Linked DNA regions of Saccharomyces cerevisiae S288C. The protein of the gene in region 2 interacts with the protein of the main gene of each other region in a pairwise test. Each region holds a gene or a part of one and is shown on either strand. Other genes may lie near its edges.

The links.
Region 1: the proteins of SER3 (region 2) and CST26 interact in a two-hybrid assay, tested with the Saccharomyces cerevisiae proteins (one large-scale study listed by BioGRID).

What each region holds. Positions count from the first base shown.
Region 1 is NC_001134.8:319,834-323,234, reverse strand, and holds CST26 (putative acyltransferase), read left to right. Parts: upstream 1-1,625; coding exon 1,626-2,819; downstream 2,820-3,401. Other genes in the region: QDR3 (Qdr3p), read left to right, coding at 1-1,359; long-chain fatty acid transporter FAT1, read right to left, coding at 2,960-3,401. UniProt on the Saccharomyces cerevisiae protein: Acyltransferase with lysophosphatidic acid acyltransferase (LPAAT) activity. Fatty acyl substrates include 18:0-acyl-CoA, 16:0-acyl-CoA, 17:0-acyl-CoA and 14:0-acyl-CoA.
Region 2 is NC_001137.3:320,601-324,363, forward strand, and holds SER3 (phosphoglycerate dehydrogenase SER3), read left to right. Parts: upstream 1-2,085; coding exon 2,086-3,495; downstream 3,496-3,763. Other genes in the region: AIM9 (Aim9p), read left to right, coding at 1-1,246; UTP7 (Utp7p), read right to left, coding at 3,672-3,763. UniProt on the Saccharomyces cerevisiae protein: Catalyzes the reversible oxidation of 3-phospho-D-glycerate to 3-phosphonooxypyruvate, the first step of the phosphorylated L-serine biosynthesis pathway. Also catalyzes the reversible oxidation of 2-hydroxyglutarate to 2-oxoglutarate.

The sequences.
Region 1 (3,401 bases), on a different chromosome or scaffold from region 2:
TATTTGGGTCCACTACTGGCGCCGCTACTATCTCCAATTTTTGGATCTTTGTTAGTGAATCGCTGGCCCTGGAGATCCACTCAATGGTTTATGGTTATTTTATCCGGATGTAATGTCATTCTTTTGACGGTGTTACTACCTGAAACATTAAGAAAACAAGATTCTAAAGGCGCTATCGCTCAAATTTTGGCTGAAAGACGTATTCAAGTAGACAATAACGAACGTGGAGAGATACAAGAAGATTATCAGAGGGGAGAAGATGAGACAGATCGAATTGAAAACCAAGTTGCCACATTATCTACTGAGAAGCATAACTACGTTGGAGAGGTAAGGGATCAAGACTCGCTAGATTTAGAAAGTCACTCTAGCCCCAATACTTATGATGGTCGAGCTGGAGAAACCCAATTGCAACGGATTTATACAGAGGCGAGTAGAAGTCTGTATGAATATCAGCTAGATGATAGCGGTATCGATGCAACAACAGCACAAGTTACGAGAATAAGATCAACAGATCCAAAGTTAGCGAGATCGATTCGAGAAAATAGTCTGAGAAAATTACAAACCAACCTGGAAGAGCAAGTCAAAAAAGTGCTATCCAGTAATGGAGGTGAAATCGCTCCTAAACAGGTATCAGCGGTGAGGAAGGTCTGGGACACCTTTTTTGTTTATTTTATCAAGCCTTTAAAATCATTGCACTTCCTAGAATATCCACCCGTGGCACTTGCAATAACATTTTCCGCAATTTCCTTTTCCACAGTATACTTTGTTAATATGACAGTTGAATATAAATATTCAAGGCCTCCTTACAACTTTAAACCATTATACATTGGTCTACTGTATATTCCGAATTCTGTAACATACTTTTTCGCCTCAATTTACGGTGGACGTTGGGTGGACATGCTTTTAAAAAGATACAAAGAGAAATATGGAATTCTTGCTCCTGAAGCTCGTATATCGTGGAATGTTGTTACATCTGTAATATCTTTCCCCATTGCGCTATTGATATTTGGCTGGTGCCTAGATAAAAAATGCCACTGGGTAACGCCACTAATTGGAACAGCCCTCTTTGGATATGCAGCTATGATGACAATTGGTGCTACCCTTTCCTATTTAGTCGATTCATTGCCGGGAAAGGGTGCCACCGGTGTTGCTTTGAATAATTTAATAAGGCAAATCTTGGCTGCAACCGCAGTCTTTGTCACCACACCCATGTTAAACGGTATGGGAACTGGGTGGGCTTTCACAATGCTGGCCTTTATCGTCTTGGGTGCTAGCAGTGTACTTATAATACTGAAAAAGCACGGTGATTACTGGAGAGAGAACTACGATTTACAAAAATTGTACGACAAAATTGATTAATCATATCGGTTAATAAGACGGAAGCGTAAATATTTTCATTGTAGACTTTTCATAGGGTGGCACATACATAGTTTACTTTAGTTTATGGTAAATCGTTATTGTGCTAAAAGTATTATTAAATAATGTTCAACAACATCTCAAGAGGCGAAAAACTCATCAGAAAAAGAAATATAAACGCGAAAGATCATTAATGAACACTAGCCAACAAAAAAAAAGGATATATCAGGTCCACTGGTATTGAGATTGCTAGCGAGGTCAATAAGCTGATGCTGCATCAAAAAATAGCTCATAAAGTTCGAAAAGTCGTCGTCCCAGGTATTTCCTTATTGATTTTCTTCCAGGGATGCCTTATTCTTTTGTTTCTCCAACTCACCTATAAGACTCTTTACTGTAGAAATGATATAAGGAAACAAATTGGTCTCAATAAAACCAAAAGATTATTTATTGTCTTGGTATCATCCATTTTGCATGTTGTCGCACCATCTGCAGTGAGAATTACCACTGAAAATTCCAGTGTTCCTAAAGGTACTTTTTTTTTAGACTTGAAGAAGAAAAGGATTCTTTCTCATCTAAAGTCCAATTCGGTGGCCATTTGCAATCACCAAATATACACGGATTGGATATTTTTATGGTGGTTGGCTTACACATCGAACTTAGGGGCTAATGTCTTCATTATTTTAAAAAAATCGTTGGCTTCCATTCCTATCCTCGGTTTCGGTATGAGAAACTATAATTTCATTTTTATGAGTAGAAAGTGGGCACAAGACAAAATAACCCTAAGCAACAGCCTTGCTGGCCTTGATTCGAATGCAAGGGGCGCCGGCTCACTTGCTGGAAAGTCACCTGAGCGCATAACTGAGGAAGGAGAGAGCATATGGAATCCGGAGGTTATTGATCCAAAACAAATCCATTGGCCATACAATCTTATCCTATTCCCTGAAGGTACAAATCTCAGTGCTGATACTAGGCAAAAAAGTGCTAAATATGCTGCCAAAATAGGCAAAAAGCCATTCAAGAATGTGCTACTGCCTCATTCTACAGGCCTAAGATACTCGTTACAAAAGTTGAAGCCAAGTATTGAAAGTCTTTATGATATTACGATCGGCTACTCCGGTGTAAAACAGGAGGAATATGGTGAGCTTATATATGGGCTGAAGAGCATATTTTTAGAAGGAAAATACCCGAAGTTAGTCGATATTCACATCAGAGCATTTGATGTTAAAGATATTCCATTAGAGGACGAGAATGAATTTTCAGAATGGCTGTATAAAATTTGGAGTGAGAAGGATGCTCTAATGGAAAGGTACTATTCCACTGGATCATTCGTAAGTGATCCTGAAACAAACCATTCAGTTACCGATAGTTTCAAGATCAATCGTATTGAGTTAACTGAAGTGCTAATATTACCAACTCTAACAATAATTTGGTTAGTTTATAAACTTTATTGTTTTATTTTTTGAATTTAAATAATCCTTTCCATATGTTATTAGGTACATATATAGATAGATATAAAACTTTTTTTGATTCTTTATCAATATTACGTTTACATACGTACTCTCGTGCAAGGAAAAATACTTTATCCTAATTCAGGAACATCAAATCATAATTTAATTGTTTGTGCATCGATGGCTTCCCAATCAGCAGCGGTCAAGACTTCATAGCGCTTGTAATTCTTGAGCCAAAAAATAGTGTCATTTCCATCCAAACCCTTTGGTAATTTTTGCTCTCTATAAACCTTCTTCAAAATTTTATGATTATCTGTCATTTTAATTTCATCAACAAATTTAACAAATAGGGGCATAGCATAAGACGGTAGATTTAACCGGCTCAAGGAATCATTTAATAATTTGGTCTTTGCAGTGATGTCAAGAGAGTTGTCAGTTAGTTTAATAACTGCAAAACCAGCTCTACCTTCATATTTAGGTACTTTAATACCAACAACTAGAACTTGTGCATATTGTTCTTTGTTACTGGCCGTCAACTGATCTTCTACTTCAGTAGTGGAAACATTTTCAGATTTCCATCTGAAAGTATCACCCATT
Region 2 (3,763 bases):
GAACCCTGTAAGGCAGCCTTTTGTCTTACAAGAATTTATCGAAGGAGAACTCTTGATGAAAGATTGGGATCCATTGATTGAAGACGGTTCCTCCAATCAAAAAAAATATGACAATGTTATTAAACAAGTTTCTGATTTTCAGTCGAAGTTAGTGTCATTGAAATTAAATGCATTTGGATCCATATATTTTAACAATGACTTAAAAGACGGAAATGAGAAGGAGTTTGTTAAGGAAGACATATACGATGGGGAAACTAATCCGGATCTACAAAACAGATGGAAAATTGGGCCATCCGTGGAAAGATGTCTCTGGAGACATAAATCTCACTTGGATTTTCATAAACAAATGAAACCTTTTTTGGGACCATGGCCAAAGAAGTCTCCAATGGATATAATTAAAAATACTGGCCTATTGGAAGCTGAAAATGCTAAAACTAGAATAGCCATGAAAGAGGCAGGAAGTTCAGCTGAATTGATGTATCCTCGAACTTTGAAGGAGCAAATAACTACCTATGAAAATTTAGCTAAGATTGCCCCGGATTTATTCAACGTCAAAACAAAGGCCATTCCAAATATGCAGGAACTATTGTCACCACGTTTGTTTCATCCTGATCTAGACCCCATGAATATTATTGTTAACAAAGAAGCACAAGAAGCCTATCTATTAGATTTTGAAGGAGCATGCACAAAACCTTTCATTTTACAGAATTCGCCACAATTCATCGCCTATGATGGGCCCAAGATTTATGACTTAAAGGAGGACATAACCGATTTTGACAAATTATCTGAGGCGGAAAAGGTGCAATATCAGTTCATGTACAAGCGCACCCGTAATCAACATCAATGGGAGAAAAAATTAAATGACAATAATCCTAAATTAATTACTGCAGTTGCCCCACCTGTTAAGCTACTGAGAAGCCCATATATTGCAGCTGTCGAAAGAAAAACGGAAGAAGAGTATTTACTTATTGATGAATCACTATTGCAATTGAAGGAAGTTTGGGACATCTTTGCCCAGAATGAGTTAGTGAATCAGAAAAAGTTTCCTCTAAACTATAGTAAAGAAGATATTGAAAGACATGTTGAGGATTTGCAAAAATTACACGAAAAGCTAATCTCTACACCATTTGCTGCCACTCAAGGGTGGATTCCTCAAGATATGTTTGATCAACTATTAAATTCCGGCAGTATTGTTAAGCAAGAGAACGGAGACTACACCGTGAAGCAACCTGAAGCTACCAAATAATCTATACTAAAAATGAAATATTTTTTTGTTTTCTTTACCTCATTCAACTGTATAGAACGTTATAACAAAATAATCAAGTTAAAACCCTTTTTTGTACACAATGGAATCTCTTCCATTTACTAATCAACTTAACAATGCTGGATTGGATATATTGATAACGTTTTAAAAAGCGTTGCGTGATGTTTGGGTGCAATTGGCGGAAAAGCGGAACTTTCAAATTTACGATAGGTGGAGATACATCTCCACCTTTCTCCCCATTATCTTTGAATTTTCCTCAAATATATAAAGAGAACAACAAATCCATAGAAATGCCATTGTTTAATCCTGATTATCTACATTGTTTTAGTTTTTTACTCACAATCGAGTAATGCCTTTGTTTGGCCAAGCTATGTGCAAATATCACAAATTAAAAATTTGGTTAAGCAGTTAGGCTGGACCTAATATTTTAGAAAAACCTAATTTTTTTTGTGGACCCATTTTCGATATTTACTCACAAATGGAATTCAAGGGGAACAACTTCGGTCTCAGCACTTTAATTATTCTTCTCGTTCCCACCTAATTTCGCAATTTATTGTCCTTGACTTCTACCACGAGAAAAAAATTAAGAAAATGCAACGCTGCCCGTGCAGGGTTTTCTGAGCGGGATGAAAAAATCAGACAAATATCCAAGTTATGAGTAATTACTTTGTTGGAAGGAGGGAGCAGAGGATAAGGAAATTCTTAAAACTGTTATGTATATAAAGGAAGAACCATTTCTAGTTATTTCACTTTTTGATACTTGTCAACTATCTTAGTAAAAATACAGAACTCTATAAAGAACCACAGAAAAATCGACAGCAATGACAAGCATTGACATTAACAACTTACAAAATACCTTTCAACAAGCTATGAATATGAGCGGCTCCCCAGGCGCTGTTTGTACTTCACCTACGCAATCTTTCATGAATACCGTTCCACAGCGCTTGAATGCTGTAAAGCACCCAAAAATTTTGAAGCCTTTCTCAACGGGTGATATGAAGATTTTACTATTAGAAAACGTTAATCAAACTGCTATTACAATCTTCGAAGAGCAAGGTTACCAAGTCGAATTCTATAAATCTTCATTGCCCGAGGAAGAGTTGATCGAAAAGATCAAGGACGTTCATGCTATTGGTATCAGATCAAAGACTAGATTAACTTCAAATGTCTTACAACATGCGAAGAATCTGGTTTGTATTGGTTGTTTCTGTATCGGTACCAACCAAGTTGACTTAGACTACGCTACCAGCAGAGGTATTGCTGTTTTCAACTCGCCTTTCTCCAACTCAAGATCAGTAGCAGAATTGGTCATCGCTGAAATCATTAGTTTAGCAAGACAACTAGGTGATAGATCTATCGAATTACATACCGGTACATGGAATAAGGTTGCTGCTAGATGTTGGGAGGTAAGAGGAAAAACTCTTGGTATTATTGGGTACGGTCACATTGGTTCCCAATTATCAGTTCTTGCAGAAGCTATGGGTTTGCATGTGTTGTACTACGATATTGTAACTATCATGGCCTTGGGTACTGCCAGACAAGTTTCTACATTAGATGAATTGTTGAATAAATCTGATTTTGTGACACTACATGTACCAGCTACTCCTGAAACTGAAAAAATGTTATCTGCCCCACAATTTGCTGCTATGAAGGATGGCGCTTATGTTATTAATGCTTCAAGAGGTACTGTCGTGGACATTCCATCTTTGATCCAAGCCGTGAAAGCCAACAAAATTGCAGGTGCTGCTTTGGATGTTTATCCACATGAACCAGCTAAGAACGGTGAAGGTTCATTTAACGATGAGCTAAATAGCTGGACTTCTGAATTAGTTTCATTACCAAATATCATCTTGACACCACACATTGGTGGCTCTACCGAAGAAGCCCAAAGCTCAATCGGTATTGAAGTGGCTACCGCATTGTCCAAATACATCAATGAAGGTAACTCTGTCGGTTCAGTCAACTTCCCAGAAGTGGCATTGAAATCATTGTCTTACGACCAAGAGAACACTGTGCGTGTGTTATACATTCACCAAAATGTACCAGGTGTTTTGAAGACCGTCAATGATATTTTATCGAACCATAACATCGAAAAGCAATTTTCCGATTCAAATGGTGAAATTGCTTATTTAATGGCTGATATCTCTTCTGTTGACCAAAGCGATATTAAAGATATTTATGAACAACTAAATCAAACCTCTGCTAAGATCTCAATTAGATTGCTATATTAATATGCAATCGATTCTCATACTGTCAACTTTTTGAACATGATTAAAAGTTTCCTATAAAATATTAAAAAGAACCAAAAAAAAAATGGATAGAAGAATGCTTGAGGCAATAATAATGATTATCTATTTTATATATACATACATAATCATTTAAGTTTTTTTTTTAAAGATATTTCGATTTAGCCGAATCTGCTCAATGCCTCTTCGATGACATCCTTGTGGTCTTCTGAAATTAGGCCTTGTTTGATTTGGTGGTTTCTTTTACGAATAT